Linked DNA regions of Mus musculus: regions 2, 3 and 4 are each reported to be linked to region 1. Evidence: microRNA targets listed by miRTarBase, many of them from high-throughput screens and not tested one by one. Region 1 holds a microRNA gene; each other region holds the end of a gene's coding sequence.

Region 1 (4,162 bases):
ACACAGAATCCCCACCCCCACCCCACCCCATGCCCATCCTCCCATGCCCCACCCTAGTCTTTTGGAAGATCACCCTGTTTTGGAGTGATACTGAGAAGTAAACTAACTTTAGGGCTGGGTACCAGTGTGCAGAGTATGCAGCCAATTCCAGAGCCAGCCAGCTGAGGCTTGCTTCACCAGCCCCTGTGCTCAGCCCAGGCTCACAGGTGCTTCACTGTTCCCTGGCCCAACTCTTGGTTCATGTAAAGAGGATAGCCTCCGGTATGTTCTCTTTATTGATGGTAATAGACTGCAAGAGGCACTTGTCCTCACATCTAACTCTATCTGGGAACTACTCCAGCCCTGTTCCATCTTTGGGTCAGGTCTCCTGATACAACGTGACTTCTGACTTTCTCGGGTATGTACCAATTCTTGGTTCTAAGATGGGACCTTTGGCTAAGCTATTAGTCTCTGGTCCTCCTTGTCCTCTTGGTGCCTGATCTTTTGCTCTTGAGGGTGGGAGAGGGTACTGTGGTGCCTGTTGCACTTGCATTGAACATAATCACCCAACAGTGGCTTGCTTGTTAAAAGACAGTGGCCCTCAGACCTGCCGTCTGTTTGTACCAAGCCATCTCCAGAGCCTTGTTGCTCACAGCATTCACCTTAGAAGATAAAGCATGATGTTAGACTATCCCAGCTTTGATACAAGTACTGGTTTATACATCTTTATTTATAATGATTTCAGGCCTGGTCCACCCCTCTCCAAGTGAGGACTTCCTGGAAGTGGTGTCTGTCTTTGGGAAGAGGCTGAAGTTTCCCATTCCGTGCGGTCTATCTGGTGTTCTTCTGTGGCTATACCTAGATCAGAAGGGGGCAGTTTTAACAGCCCGCACCTATGGAAGCAACCCATCCCGTCAAAAAAAGGTGAGTGTTTTTCCTTGCCATGATTCAGTGCAAACCTGTGGCCATTCCTGCCTGCTCTTTTCTGGGGAAGAGGTCCCAAAAAGGAAAGATGGTTCCATCATTCAGTGGCATGTGGAGTTTGACCCCTGTATGGCATCAACTTCCTTCTAGTTCTGTCCCATTCCACTATCGGGCAGAATTAGTGGGGCAGGGTCCGGTCCTGGGAGTGACACTGATACCCGTTACTGGGAAGGCAGAAAGGATTGGCTTTAATCACTTCTATAAATTCCTGGGGTCCTCCTGTCCTCTGTGTGCAGTGTACAGCCAGGTGGGCATCATAGAGAAAGTGCTAAGGATAAGATTGTAGTCCTAACCAGGGTTTACCTACAGAAAGCAAAAATCTGAGTTCTGTATTTCCTGAGAGAGTGAAAATCTCAATCTGTTGTAACATCTGCCAGTAATATCAGAAAAAGGTCCCCCCCACCCCCCAAGTATCTGTCCCAGCCCAAGCTCCTTGGATGGAGAGCTGACCAGTGGGCACACATCTGGCAGGTGGTGTTTGCCATGTAATTGGCTGATTCCGAATCTCCCATCATCCCTCCCCAGGCTAAGTCCCAGGAGACGAGGCTGACCCCGTGAATGCTAGAGCGGAACCTGCCCCATGCTATTGTTTGGTACTTAAAGCGAGGTTGCCCTTTGTATATTCGGTTTATTGACATGGAATATACAAGGGCAAGCTCTCTGTGAGTATCAAACCTTATCTTGGATCCCGTCCACACTCAGCGAGGGATGTGGTATGTGTGTGCATGACCGTGTGTATCCATCTTGTGTGTGACAAACTGCTTCCTGGGTTTCCTTTATGCACCAACGGCTTCATGGGCGCAAGATGACTTCAGGAAAGACCTCGGGTACATCCCCTCTCCTTGTCCATATGGGTTGGTCCCAAAGCATGCTCTCTGTGTGTAGCCTGGGTCCCTGCTTTCCCAGGCTGATGGTCAGGTCTGTGCTGGTGTGGGCCGTTGTTTTTTGATGTGCTGCCGTGCCGTGGTACCCAAGTGTGCATGTTCTTGCTTGGTGTGTGTGACCCAGTCTGCTAACGCTCAGCGTCTAATTCGTCCCCAGGACCCTACCTGGAAGACGTAGCACGTCTACCTGAGGCGGTGGCTTTGCTTTCCAGGCCGAGCTTTGGTACTTGGAGAGTGGTTATCCCTGTCCTCTTCGCTTCACTCATGCCGAATCGTACAGGGTCATCCACTTTTTCAGTATCAAGTGCGCAGACTCTGCAGCCTGGCTTCCTGCGCCTGGATCCTGCCACTGCCACTTCCCATCACACATCCTTGGACAAGGGTGTCGCCGTGTTATGCTCCTTGTCTCGTGTGTCACTCGCGAGTCCTCTTGGGGTCCAATGCATATGGCTCTCGGGGGCTGGGAGAGATCAGGCTCTTGTAGGGACTAGGCTCATTATTGACCATGTGCCAGCCCAAACTTTTGTCTGCTGGGAGCTGACTGCTGGCAGCTATGATGGTGATATACAAACCTCTCCTTGGATTTGGGAGCCCATGTTGAGACAGACATTCTCTGTCAGTCATGTGAGTGGGTGTTGGAGCTTAGAGTTTGTGCTGGACTTACAAGGTGGTGCTTGTGACTCGGCAGTGACATCATTTCTGTAGCAGCTTCTAGAACAGAAGACCCCATGCCGGGGGTCAGCAGGGCCACCCACAATGCTTGCTCCACTTAAGATGGACACTGCCTGGCTTCTTGACCCCAGCCACCATTACCCTTAGAAGAGGCTAACGTGAGGTTGTCATGCTGAGTCCTGGGGAGTCATTTCTATAGCCTCTCACCTCCCTGGTGCTTAGAATGGCCATCAGTAGTACTGCATGCATGGTGCATGTATGTATTGGGTGCAGCCACGTGTGAGGAGTGGTGATCACTCCCAAGAGGCCTATGGATGCTGGTATTCCTGCTGTGCTACTGTTTCATACTTGAGGAGAAATTATCCTTGGTGTGTTGGCTCTTTTGGATGAATCATACAAGGATAATTTCTTTTTGAGTATCAAATACTGCCCTGGTGGACTTCCGGGATGACGAGACGGTTGTTTAAAGAGGTGCCTGGTGCATGATGCATGGGTTAGCCTTACCTGGGCACAAGGCAAGAGAGCACAGAACTGATGTGTAAGAGCTACACTCTGATCCCAAGTCAGGATCTTGCTTGAAGAGTCCAGGGGTTCCTACGTGGCTTGGTCATGGTGAGATAGCACAGTTTTCATGACTTGGCAAATCGTTCTTTTTTTTTTTGGATGGGCAGCCAATCTCACAGATAGTCACTGGGGTCAGGCCCCGGCCCCTTGCTCAAGAGTGTGACTGGTTCCACAAGCATGTGCTTGAATGACAGAGGCCGGCGAGCTGTCTGGTCTGGATCGTGAGAGGAGGTCCTGCGGTTTTTCTCGGTGCGGTGGTTCTCTGACATTTGCAGGGTGGCTATCAATAGTGTGCTCGCCATATTTATGGAGATTAATTGGGACGACCATTGTTTGCCCCATATCTGGATTTGCTTCCGAAGGTCCTAGAGCACAGTGGTGACTTCAGCTAATGGACATTGGTACCTGCTGCAGGAGAGGGAGAATTTATTGAGGCAGAGTAACCTCAGAAGGCACCCCCCCCCCCATGTACTCTCACAGTGACAGCTTTGAGGTGGCAACAGCTTTGGTGGCTTGCTTCTTTGTGCTTGGTCTGGAGAACACTGAGAATAACTCACCTGTCTGTTGTTGCTGTTAAGTCTTAGTTCAGAGGAACTCCTTGAGAAGGTACTGGGTCAAGCATCTCTTTAGGTAGACAGAACTTGGCCAGGGTCTTCTAGGTCCAGCACCCACTCTCCTCAGCATCCATTCTGAGCATAGACTTCCTGTGGTTAATACAGGTGTTAATAAGGATACTTCCTGCCGCCGCCGCTGCCTTAAGTCACTCTCTATCTGTTCCTATGGCTTCCTTTGGGCTGACTTTTTCTTAGACATACCTGGTCAATAGCATACCATTTCAGCTCATTCCATAATCTGGTGTGTGTGTGTGTGTGTGTGTGTGTGTGTGTGTGTGTGTGTGTGTGCCTGCATGCATGCTTGTACAAATTGTTGGTTAGTGTAGGGCCTCTCAAACTGCTCAACGCTGCTAAGATATTCGTCACCTAGGGATCTTGTTAAAAAGCAGAGTCTGATTGAGGGGCCAAGATTCTGCATTTTTAGCAAGCTCTCAAGTGATGCTAATGCTGCCGGTCCGTGGACAA
Region 2 (4,162 bases), not on the chromosome of region 1:
ACCAGGGTCAGAGTCAGTTTCTTTCAAGCTTTCTCTTAGATCTTCATATCCTGGGTGTGAGTGTGTACATCTGAGAGTGCAGGTGACCACGGAGGTCAGAGGCATCAGCTATTCCTAGGGCTGCAGTTTCAAGCAGCTGGGATGCTGGGAACTGAACTTGGGTCCTCTGTGAGAGCAATAAGAGCTCTTAACCACCACACCATTATGAAGTAGAAATTTCTGGTTGTGTCATGTGATGCAGCCTCACGTGATATTTTGCTGAGGCAAGACCCAGGAGAGGACACATGATGTTTGGAGAGAATATAAATAGGACTCAATGGAGGAGACAAAGTGCTTGCACAGCTACACTCATGCAACAAACACTCCCTTGGCATTGCATCTTCACTAATCTTCCCTTTATTGAGAGAAAGATGGCATCCCAGCTGGTCCCGGTTGCTTCCAATGACTCCTGCCGATTCAGCAGAGGCCTGGCAGTTTCTGCTGGATTGTGCCACTTCTGACACTTTTGGACTGGTATCCTGACAATGGGAATTGGAATCACCCGAAAGAACTAGTTCTAAACAGGCACACATACCCTTGTCCTATCACCTTCTTTTCTCCCCTACCTTTGGTGGGCTAGAAGGGGAGGCGAAACGTTTGAGTACCCTTATTAAAATACCCTTATTAAAATAGGTTTTGAAAAACCTAAGCCTATACCATCTCTCTAGCTTTTCATTTTTATTATTTATTTATTCATTCATTCATTCATTCATTCATTCATTTCTACTTTATTTATTTATTTATTTATTCATTCATTCATTCATTTCTACTTCATTTATTTATTTATTTATTTATTTATTTATTTATTTATTTCAGACAGGCCCTCGCTGGCCTGGAACTTGTTATGTAAACCAGGCTGACTTCCAACTCACAGAGAGCCCCCTGCTTCTTTCTGCCTCTGGAGTGCTGAGCACAGCTGGACCTCCAGTTAAAGGTGTGCACCATCATCCCTGCCAATACAACTTCTTAAGTATCCCACCCTGGCCTTGAACTTGCTTTGTAGCTGAGACTGACCTTGAATTCCTGATCCTCTGCCCTCCTCTTCCCTAGTGCTGGGATTCCAGTTGTTTCCTACCATACCTGGTAGGATTTCTAAGTTTCTATGTCATAACACCTACACTAGGCATTGGGCAAACTGTGAAACATCTGGACTCAGAAGCAGAACCCAAAATTAACATCATTCAAAACCCCACTTTATATCTAGAATTTCTCAACCTTGGTACTATTGTTTTTATATCCCTGGCTGTCCTGGAACTCACTTTGTAGACCAGGCTGGCCTTGAACTCAGAGATCTGCCTGCCTCTGCCTCCCAAGTGCTGGGATTAATAAAGGCATATGTCACTTAGGCCTGTGTGGTATCAGTCTTTCTATGATGTGGCTGTCTAGGTAACTACACCTCAGATGGCCCATGCCTTGTTCAAGGAAACAAAGTCTAACAGAATGCGGGCATCACAGTAATGTAAAAGTGTCATCAGAGTCTCAGGTACAATTGTTAAAGTACAACTGAAATATCTTTCCATCCACGGGTGGGGACTAAGTCAGTAGAGAGTACTTGCCCAGCATGGACAAGGTCCAGGATATAACACCTACTACTATGAAAACTAAAAGATCTTTCTTTTCTTCCTTCCTTCCTTCCTTTCTTCCTTTCTTTCTTTTTTATAAAGTTGACAATTTTAAAATAATTTATTTTATTGTATTTTATGTGCATTGGTGTGAGGGTGTCAGATCCCCAGAACTGGAGTTAGAGACAATTGTGAGCTGCCATGTGGGTGCTGGGAATTGAACCAAGGTCCTCTGGAAGAGCAGCCAATGATCTTAACCATTGAGCCACCTCTCCAACCCTCATGCCGTCTTTCTTCCTTTAAAAAAAAAAAAAAGGCTTTTTTTTTCTTGCAGACAACACAAATTTAGGTATTTGTTTATTGCAGTACTAGAGATTGGACCCAGGGACTTCCTAATGACAGACAAGGAGCTGTAACCCTAGTCCTGCCAGGGGAGGTGGCGCATGCCTTTAATCCCAGCCCTTGGGAGGCAGAGGCAGTCAGAACTTCAGGAGTTCAAGGCCAGCCTGGTCTACATAAGCAGGTTCCACAGCAACCAAGGCCCCCCCCAGAGAAACCCTGTCTCAAAATACAAGCAAACCAACAAAAGCTTCCACTCTTTAATGACAAGACAATACATACAAGGCAGTTTATAAATGATTCTCACTAGGTATTGTTCAAGAGGCAGAGAGACCTGGTGATTTCACTGCTGTTTGAAACTGTGTTAAAAGTAAAGGAAGACAAGGGATTTCTTTTAAAGTCCACTTCAGATGCTTTTAAGAAAAGTCTGCAAGCTACCTTCTAGTGCACCATTCATCCATGGTCTTTCCTGTCCTTTCATACTTTAGAGACACTCGACTTGCTTTGCTACAGTTGTGACCTGGCTGCAGAGTGGGTGAAAAGCAGACCGGCTTGAAACCTGTTCTACCCAGCTCCTTCCTTCTAGGTGGTCTTCTAAAACCTGAATGTTAGTTAGGCATGCATGTCTCCCCTGCAGTTCAAGTCTGGGCATAAACTAGGTGGCAGGATGTCAGGCGGGACATGCATGCCCAGGAATGTCACGAGGGTGTGCATATCCAGGTTGCATGTCTGGGAAATGACTAAGCAGCCTTTTGATTTTTGCCCAAACGACTTGCTTTATAATCTGAGAATAGGGGATTTGTGTGTACGGAATTGTCAAATAGCAGAGTAGACGGGGACAGTACTCTGCCCTGGCTCACTGGCTCTTCTCTGGGGGCTCATTTAACTTAACTCAATCTAGGTGGGCAAGCAGCGGGCCCAGAATAAACTTGCAATTTGTGTCAGTGTTTGTCTGCATAAAGCTTCCTCCAGCCTTTAGGCATATAGTCTTAGATTTAGGGAGTACCTTTTATGACCACGTAGTTAGCCCCGCCTGCTTTTTATCGAAGCAGATTCCCAGAAAATTAAATGTGGAGTTCATTTCAAGAAGCCTGGCAGGGGAGAGACAGAGGTTCTGACAACATACTCTTGCCACCTCTTCAGAAGACTGTAATGATGTAAGAACGTAAAAGACCAGCATAGTGCTAAGCTGGGAGGTTTTCTTATTTATCTCCGGCCCAGAGTCAGCTTCTCAGCAGGAAAATTAGGAAGTCTCGGGGCTCAATCTCAATTCAGTCAGTACCAAGGAGACGTCAACAAAACTCTCAAGACTCCATGCTAAAACGTCATCAGTCTTTTTGAGTCACAACATCCAGCCTTCGTCTAACAAAAAAATCCAAGTGTAACGACACTGTGGGGAGATGATCCCCAAGTCTCACAGAACTCGACAAATGGTAGCTTTCACAGTAGAACAAGCCACAACACTTAAAACCTTCCCACCGAGTCACTGCTACGTAAGTGTCTCTGGGGCTGGTAAGTTGGGCCGAATGTGTGGCTTGTCGTCAGAATCCTCCGCGGTTGGGTCATTCTCCTCACCAGACTCTATGTAGATGGGCCAGTCATCTGTGTCACTCTTCTCGTGGCTTTCAGATGAAGCCTCCACCAGGCTAAGGTTGACAGGCATCAGGTCGTCCTCTTCCTCCTGGGGGTCTGTGACACAGGTGCAACTGTCACACAGCCCGAAGCGCCGCAGTCCTTGGGACAGGTGGCTCGTAAAGGTTCGTCGACAGCCTTTGCAGATAATTGGACGGCTGGATCTGTGGACCTGCCAGCACAAGGGGACACCGTAAAGGTCAAAGAAAAGGCTGGAGAGGTGACTTAGCAGCTAGCAGTACTTGCTGTGCAAACGGAGGCAAGTTACTCTCCTGCCTCAGGGTATCAGTTCTGGTGGGAAACTGGGGATACAGCTTACTCTACGTCCTTACCAGGGGAAGAAACTCACAGTCTGCTGGCCCTGCCAATTCTGGCCTCATGACGGCCATCCTTGAACAAAAGCTAGGCTTCTTGGAAAACTGGCCTGTTCGCACACCGGCATTAACTTTTTTCTTTTTTCTTTTTTTTTTCCGAGACAGGATTTCTCTGTATAGCCCTGGCTGTCCTGGAACTCACTCTGTAGACCAGGCTGGCCTCAAACTCAGAAATCCTCCTGCCTCTGCCTCTGGAGTACTGGGATTAAAGGTGTG
Region 3 (4,162 bases), not on the chromosome of region 1:
AACCAAAGGCATTTTAAAACAGTGGCCCATGAGAAAAATCAGACTTGAAAATCATACTTATTGCTAATTTGTGGAAAGTGAGCACACAGTAAAAGAAATGTGAGCTATGTTAAAAACCCAAGAGTTAAGCCAGCCGGTGGTGGCATTCGCCTTTAATCCCAGCACTCAGATCTCTGAGTTTGAGGCTAGCCTCATCTACAGAGTAAGTTCTAGGATAGCCAAAGCTACACAGAGAAACCCTGTCTTAAAAAGACTAAAACAAACAACAACGAAGAACAAGCATTAGCGTGATGGAGCATGCCCATCATCCTAAATGGGGTCCTTAGGAGGATAAGTTCAAGGCTAGCCTGAGATAACCTGCTTAGGCATGTAGGAAAGAAAGAAAAAAGTTAAGCCTAGAGGTAACAGCACCAAAAGCCTGGGCAACAGGGCACTCTATTAGGACTAAGAGCTGGGACTCAGGCTGTGGCTCAGTGTGCATCAGTTATGTGCACAGCCCTAGGCTTGATCCCAGCACCAAACAATTTCTAAGAACTATAAGAAGGCCATTTGGTGGTGCACACCTTTAGTCTCATCACTTGAGAGGTGAGGGAGGTGAGCTCTGAGTTCAAGACCATAGTGAGTTCCAGTACAGCCCTGTCCAAAACTACAAACACTGTGTGAGCTTGGTAGCAGATTCTGCCTAAAACCTCTGTTGTGGTTTGAATGTGAACTGTTCCCCGCAGGCTTAAGTGTCACTCTGTCTGGGTCACTGGGGTAGGCTTTAAGGCTGTCTAGCTCCACCCTACTCCTGTTCATTCTCTGTATCTGAGTACAAGGACCGTGCGACCAACCAGCCTCCTCCACCATGGTGGACTGAATTTCAAGGGAAATCCTAAGGCAAAATGAGGCCTTTCTCCTTTAAGGCGCTTTTGTCAGAGAACTGTATCATAGCAACAGAGCAACAACTGAGCCGCTCAGAAGTTAAAGATACACTACTCCAGGGGAAGCAAGCCAGTAAGGAACATCCTTCCATGGCCTCTGCATTAGCTCCTGCTTCCTGACCTGCTTGAGTTCCAGTCCTGACTTCCTTGGTGATGAACAGCAGTATGGAAGTGTAAGCCGAATAAACCCTTTCCTCCCCCAAAAGAAAAAAAAAGATACACTACTCTGCCAAAGACACCCCAAAACCAGTGAGTATAAAGAGGAGCATGTATCTGCACTCCCGGGGCTCTACAGTAAGGTCAAAGGGTCTCTGGAAACTCATGGGCAAGCAGAGTGGCTTGACATATTTCCCCCAAAAACACTGGCAGAAAAAATTGACACAAGGTTGTCCACTGACATACATGTGCTGTGGAGTGAGTGCACACATGCATGCTTATCAAACACACAAAAGATAAAATAATCACTGTGCAGTTCTTAAAGCATGAGATGATGGCTAAAAGATGGGTCATTGTAGCTCTCGCAGATGACCCAGGTTTACCTAGAACACAATCACATAACTGTAGGAGACTGCCACCTTCTGAACTCGAAGTACCAGCACACATGTGACAAGCAGGCAAAGCACTCATCCACATAAAAAGTTAATAAAGAGAGAGATTAAAATTTTCCTGTGGGGGCCAGGCGTGGTGGCGCACGCCTTTAATCCCAGCACTTGGGAGGCAGAGGCAGGCAGATTTCCGAGTTCGAGGCCAGCCTGGTCTACAGAGTGAGTTCCGGGACAGTCAGGGCTACACAGAGAAACCCTGTCTCAAAAAACAAACAAACAAACAAAAACCAAAATAATTTTTTTCCCTGTGGGGAAAAAGATGCCTATTCAGCCCCAAGGACGAGCACGATGCTGAAGTCTGCATAACCAACCCTGTTGATCCTTATTTCCCCAGCTGTTTCCCTTTAGAGCTAACTTTCTGGACCAAGCCATTCTGCCTTAGCACTTTTTCTTTACTTACTAGTCATTCCTAATATAACAAGTAGTTGTCTTTATTCATGAGACGGGGTTTTATGGTATATCCCTGGCTGCCTGAGAATTTACTTTTTAGACCAGGATATCCTCAAACTCATAGATACCTCTCTGCCCCTGCCTAGCTCACCCAGCTCAGTAGTTGATTCTTAACAGGTTCTCTATGCCTTTGTGAGGCTCCCATGCCAAAAACTATTCTTGTTTTGCTTTTTGAGATGGGTGGGGCTTGCTTTGAGGACAGACTGGCATAGAGCTGTTTGTAACTGGGCTGGCCTTAAATCTGAGGCAGTCATTACTCAGCCTGACAAGGATGAGATTATAGGCACGAGCAGCCAAACCTGGCCCCATGCAAACGGGTATTACATAATTTTGTAAAGTTTTTCTTCTATGAGTTTTGTATCAATCATAATTTTTGAATCCCCATAAGACTCAAGGAGAATGCAGAATAGGAGTGAGGTTTTGCTCACCCAAAGGTTCCATACAGAAAGTTCATGTGCAGTGGGAGAGGACTCAGTAATTAGGCACTGGCTGCTCTTTCAGAGGACCTGGGTTCAATTTCCAGCACCTCGTGGTGGATTATAGCCATCCAAAATTCCAGTTTCAGGGGATCCAATGCCATTTTCTGGCCTCCTTGGTCACCAGGAATGCTCATATGGCCAACACCTTGTCCCCTTGTTTCAGGCTTGCTTGACACTTGTAAAGGAGTTGAGCCATGCTACTTAGTTACTTTAATGTGTTACAGTGCCAGGTGTTCATAGATGGTAGGACATACTCTACCACCTTTACACACAAACTGGTCCTCACTACGTAGCTCTGGAGCTCACTCTGAATCCAGGCTGAATTCAGAGAGATCCAACTGCCTCTACCTCCCGAGTTTGGACAGGGACAAACCACCACTATGCCTGGCGATTCGTGCCATGTTCATGATAAAATTTATACAGCAATAAAAAAATAATAGTCCATAAACAAAGCACAGGTAAATTACACTATTTATGTACTATATTATCATATGGTAATTAAATCAACTCAATTTAGATCTATTAATATGGAAAGAAAGTTTCTAAGTAAAAAACAGAAAGCAATAGTATGAGCTATAGTAGGATTATTTTGTTTATTTATGCTTTTTGAGAGAGGACCTTACTGCGTAGCTCTGGCTGGCCTGGAGCTCACTATGTAGACCAGGCTGTCCTCAAACTTAGAGATCCACTTCCATACATGCTAGGATCAAAGGCATAGGCTGCCATAAGGTGAGATGGAACTCTTTGAAGATAGCAGTACAAAACCATGGAAGACAAACACAAATCTCCCCGAGGCCTCTTCCTTGGGGGAGGGTCAAAGGAATGGGATGAGCAGTGCCAAGGTCCTGGCTGTGCGTGCAGGAGGAGCGTAGTGAGTTCGAGATGACAGGACATCAGGGAGGCGTCAGGGCCATCTTTTCAGGGCTTACTCTGGGTAGTAAGTAGGCTAAAGCTCTTGCAAAACTGCTAACAGTATTGTTTTCTGTTTTCAATACTATACCTAATGATCTTAAAGTGGCAGATCACCCAGAGCTGCAGAATAACCAGGAATCGCATGCCAAGCCTCTCCCAATGCACTGTCAATTACATTTTAGAGACTGCAGTTATCCTTGTACTCTAATCATAAATCACAAATATTTATTGTAAAATACATTTAATAAAAATAACCCGTAGTTTTACATATTTTACATCTGTAGAATATTTACAAGTTCTCTCTTATAGCATTTAATATTCACTATTTTTTCCATTATTTGCCTTTGGATCATTTATTTCAGCAGTGAAACTGTCCATTGTTCGCTGCAACTAAAAAATGAGCTTCTTGGGCAATATTCCTGAAAGTAAAACAGAAAGGTTGTTCACTCACTGTACTCCAGAGCATTATCTAACTTACAGGCATTGCTAACCATTAACACAGAGTAAGAACCGCTGGGCAGAGGGCAGGAGAGCTGGCTTGGCAGTTAAGAGCACTCACTGCTCTCCCAGAGGACCTGGGCTCAACTGCCAACAGCCACACAGCAGCATGAAGCATCTGTAACTCCAGTCCCAGGAATCTGATGCCCTCTTCTGGCCTTCACAGAGACTGCACACATGTGGTACAGACATACATGCAAATAAAATATTCATACACATAAAAGTAACAAAAAATTTCAAAATAATACAGTTAAAAACAAAGCCATCTGGGTGTGCTGAACATGTACTTAATTCT
Region 4 (4,162 bases), not on the chromosome of region 1:
GGAACAGAATTCTAAGGAAGTGAGCGAGAGGAGAGCGACCTAGGGAGGGGTGGTGACTGACATAAGAGCTCTGGAGCAGGGGCTGCCTGTGACTCTAGCCGGAGCAGCCCTTCCTTCCTCAGCTGTGCAGTTTTGTCATCCAGTTCTTGCCCCACACCCCCATGCCTTGGCCCTGGCCAGCAGATGCCAGCCATCCATCCCCCTGTGCCCTGCGCAGCTCATGTCTCCTGGGATAGCTCCATTGAAGCCCGCAAGGTGGCCATGTGGCCCCTCAATGAGTCCCTATCATAGAATCAGATACTCTGGCCTTTGTCGTCCCTGCTGTCCGGTTGTCTGTCTCCTTCTCTTGCTCACACCCCACTGCAGTGACAAGAGGCACTTGGGCTTGTTTTAAACACTTTATTTATAAAAAAGTACATTTTTTTTCTCAGTACATTTTCAACCCATCTTTTTTTTTTAATACAAGTAAAAGGGGGCGGGGCAACCACTCCCCCCCTCCAGGTCAGGACCAGGGGAATCTGCTGGGCTGTCCCCAGGACCAAAGAGGAAAACAGTGACATAGAAACTGAAGCAAAGGAAGCTTAGTCACACTCAGGCGAGGGTGGCAGCTTCTCCTGGATTTTGTTTCCATTTGTTAAAAAAAAAAAAAGTCACCCTCTTCCCCCCAGCCCACTCTTCACAGCTGGGGTCAGAAAGCAGCATCAGCGAGGCTGGTTCCTCACCTCTCGGTGTCTCCGGCCCAGGTCAGCTGGAGCCACCTGCCCTCACCAGGAGAGGGTTTCAGTTGGCAGTTAGGCTTGGGGAAGTCTCTACCTGGACTCCTCCAGAGGCCTGGGAGCACCCCCCTCCTCCCAGGAAAGGATGCAGTGTCTGCTGGGCTCAGAGGGGTGGCCTCACCCACCTGACGTGAGTCCTGATTCTCCCACCTGGACGATGGCAGGAAGGTTATTGCACCAGTGACTGGGGCACGCTGGGGTGGCTGGCAGAGGGTGCGCCTTCCCAGGGCTTGGGGCCCGAGCATTAATTAATACAGGTTTCTCGTTTATGTGTGTACTTGTGCACACACACACACACACACCTGTGCTTGGTCTGTGGAAGGCGTGTGTTGGTGTGCTGGGCGTGTGTTCACTAATTGTGTGTTGCTGTATTTCAGGTCCTTCTGGTAAAAGAGACTCAGAGGGTTGTTGCACACCAGAACAATACCAAAATCTGTAGGGAAACAGGGGTCCAGGGGCAGGGGAGGGACAGGAGGGGGAGGGCAGCTAGGGACGACATCCGGAGGGGTCTGGGCAGGTAACACACCAAGTTTACTCTCCGCAGTCTGGCAGAAGCTCAGCTGTGCTGGGGGGGGGGGGCATGAAGGTGAAGCAAAATGCCCTCCGCTCTGTCACACTGTCAGCTGGCTGTGTCCACTGTCCCGCAAACACAGGGCAAGAAAAGCCCCTTCTCCTTGGGTCCAGCTACCGACCCCTGACTCCTGTCCTTTCTTAGCCCAGGTGGCGGCCGCCTGGAAGCGCTCAGTGCCACGGCTGGGGATCCTAGATCCTGCTGCATGGACCCTATAAATTGTGCTTTGCTTCGGGGAAAGGCGTGCAGGTTTGTACAGGGAGCTTAGGTGCTTTGTCCAGGCCCAGGGCCTCCTCGATCCATCACAAGACAGGGGATAGGGGATGACCGTGAAAGGTGCGAGAGACTCGGGAGGGTGAGTCTTTCAGTCTTATGGCCCCATAGGGACAGAAATACCACTCTGGGGCAGTCAGGGTTCTGCCTCCTGCCTTGGGGGTGGGGGAGGGGGACCAAGGAGAGGGGCAGAGTGGTATGAGGAACAGGATGAGCTGTGACATGGAAAGGACACTAATACTTCTGGGAGAAGCAGCCCAGCTCCTCCATCTTCCTTCTCCCTGTGGCTAGAAAGGCCCCAGAATTTTCTTCCCCAAACTTCACCCCATCCAGTGTCCCCAATGCCAAGACGGAGAGCCGCCCCAGGGCTGGCATGGCTTCAGACTTCTGCTACGTGGCTACTGGGCGGCCTGGGCTGGGACTAGGGCAGTGAGGGCCTGGCAGAAGAGCCCCAGCTGGTGGGCTGAGTAAGGGGTGCCAGAGATGGCGCTTGGACTGGGAACTCAATAGCAGCACCAGGGAGGAGTGGGGTGTGGGCTGGGGCTCCCTTAGGAAGCCTATGGCAGGGTGGGTCAGTGCCCGTAGGGCACAGAATGGTCTGCCTCCCTCTCCCCAATGTTTGTGATCCCTCAGCGAGTGTCACTTAGGGCTGAGTTGGCTGAGATCCTGACAGGCAGGCCCTGGGAATGCCCATTTAGAATGAGGGTAATCTGGGGGCACAGATGGAGAAACCGAGGCACTTTGAGCTTGGGGACAGAGGGCTGGGGTGAGGTGGGGTGGGGAGACCTTTTTCCATGCACTCAAGGGAAGGCCCAGCCCCGAACGGCTGACAAAGCCAGAATCCCATTCAAAGAGGGAGACTGCATGCAAAGGCCCTTCTACACGGCCATCTTGCCAGTCTGGCACCAGGAGAGAGTGAGCAGGGGTCAGTCTGTGGATACGCAGCAGGTCCCCGGTGCCCCTGCACTTTCTTTGAGACCCGAGACACATCTAGGCCAGCCTTCCCATATGAGACGCTAGCAGTCCCCCTTCAATTGTGTTTGCAGTTTCCACAAAGCAGCCTTCTCCGTCTCAATAATTCTGTGCCTCGCATTCCTTCCTGGGATCCCAGCCCTGACTTTCCAGAAGAGTCAAGTGTTGCTAGCACTTGACAGATAAGGAGAAATCCGAGAAACATGTACATTGTCAGGAAAGGTTGGAGCTACACTGAAATTGTAGAGTGGCTTTGGGGGTGGGTGGGTGGGTGCGGGAGGTTCATCCTAGCTGACTCTGAATGCTTCTGTGGGCTGATCCCTTCCTGAGCTGGGAACGGGTAAGAGGTGGAGCAGAGGGTTGGGCCTCGGGCAGTGTTCAGCCTGGGCAGGGCGTGAGAGGTTGGCATAGGCCCAGGGATGTGTGCATGGATATGTGTGCATATGTTGGCAGAGGCATATAGGAACTGTGGGTAGAATCCACCTGGGGTCACCCACTGTGTACAGAACGGACTGGGCGTTAACAGAGAGGGGTATATGAGAGCTACGCCAACTCCATTTGGGGGGCCAGAAAGAAAAAAAAAAAGAAAACATAAAACCACCCTCACCAGGAAAACACACTGCCCAGGACCCCAGCAGAACCCTCAGCTCCATTATTCCCCACACAAGACTCCCCTGGGTACCACGGAGAACTCCTCTAAAACCTCTTAGGTGCACTGACTGCATCAGCTTAGTGGGGGCTTGGGTTACATCTTTCTGAGAAGAGGAGCAGCATATCGGGTGGGGGTGAGGGTGCTCTCCATCTCGAAGCTCCCTTTGCCCTCCATTCCCAACGGAGAGAACACAAACAAATTCCAGTGTTGGGGGATGGGGGTGGGGGGGTGGGAGAGGACTGGCTCCCCAAACCCTGGAGGGATGCCCAAGTACACAAGACAAGAACAGGGCTCCCTACACACAGGGCAGTGGAAGGGGTCCTTAAAGGAAAGGTACAGCAACACCAAAGCCACGGTCGAACACAACACCAGGGGGAAGGGTGGGTGAGGGAGGAAATTAAAAAAAAAAAAACAAAAAACAAACAAAAAACAAAAAAACGAAGCCAAGTGGGGTCTGCCCTGAGCTCCTCTGGCTCCTCAGGAGTTTGGGGCTGGTTTAGGGCAGTGGGCTGTGGGGGTGGGCAGGGGGGCGTGCGGGTAGGGGCCTGGGAGAAGTGGGCACAGACAGAGGCTCCAGAAGGCGGGGCTACACATACCACTCTTTCTTGGAAATGAAAGACCCGTCGTTCTGAGAAACCATGTTCTCAGCCAAGTCCAGCTGTTCAGGGTCATACTGGTAGCCCAGAGTCCGGTCCCCATAGCCGTCCTGACGGGCCTCAGCCTCATCCACAGTGAAGTAGGGCCGTTTGGCGTCCTCGTCATATTTGGGGTGGGGGCCGCCCACCTTACGTTCGCCTCCTCCACCGCCCTCCTCCTCCTCTTCCTCCTCATAGCTGCTCCCGCCCAATGGGCCGGCCTTCTTTTCATCATCCGAGTCATCCGGGTACTGCAGGTTCTGTGCCATGGGCGGGTGATGCT

What was found. The annotated mature microRNA mmu-miR-539-3p reads CAUACAAGGAUAAUUUCUUUUU and lies in region 1 at 2,912-2,933, shown strand. An mRNA with a match to its seed (bases 2 to 7 or 8) in the 3' UTR can be bound and repressed. Matches are read on the target gene's strand: a 7mer-m8 pairs with bases 2 to 8, a 7mer-A1 pairs with bases 2 to 7 and ends in A, and an 8mer does both.
Region 2: miRTarBase lists Zbtb8b as a target of mmu-miR-539-3p. Seed matches in the 3' UTR shown: 7mer-m8 at 2,219-2,225 and 7mer-m8 at 2,170-2,176.
Region 3: miRTarBase lists Cdk7 as a target of mmu-miR-539-3p. The part of its 3' UTR that is shown has no 7-base or 8-base seed match.
Region 4: the mRNA of Nectin1 is a reported target of mmu-miR-539-3p. Seed matches in the 3' UTR shown: 7mer-m8 at 460-466.

Annotation. Positions count from the first base shown.
Region 1 is chr12:109,725,265-109,729,426 of GRCm38, forward strand. Mir539 (microRNA 539) reads left to right here and starts at 2,865; the gene lies at 2,865-2,938. It overlaps Mir381 (microRNA 381), which reads left to right and starts at 1,558; the gene lies at 1,558-1,632. It overlaps Mir487b (microRNA 487b), which reads left to right and starts at 2,069; the gene lies at 2,069-2,150. Mir544 (microRNA 544) reads left to right here and starts at 4,061; the gene lies at 4,061-4,138.
Region 2 is chr4:129,424,084-129,428,245 of GRCm38, forward strand. Zbtb8b (zinc finger and BTB domain containing 8b) reads right to left here. Exons shown (of 4, transcript NM_153541.3): 4 at 1,682-3,744. The coding sequence ends at 3,430. Among named protein-coding and RNA genes, the nearest start is that of Zbtb8b, 15 kb to the right of the region's middle.
Region 3 is chr13:100,699,719-100,703,880 of GRCm38, forward strand. Cdk7 (cyclin-dependent kinase 7) reads right to left here. Exons shown (of 12, transcript NM_009874.3): 12 at 1-3,788. The coding sequence ends at 3,760. Among named protein-coding and RNA genes, the nearest start is that of Cdk7, 29 kb to the right of the region's middle.
Region 4 is chr9:43,803,685-43,807,846 of GRCm38, reverse strand. It overlaps Nectin1 (nectin cell adhesion molecule 1), which reads right to left. Exons shown (of 6, transcript NM_021424.3): 6 at 386-4,162. The coding sequence ends at 3,831. Among named protein-coding and RNA genes, the nearest start is that of Gm46108, 15 kb to the right of the region's middle.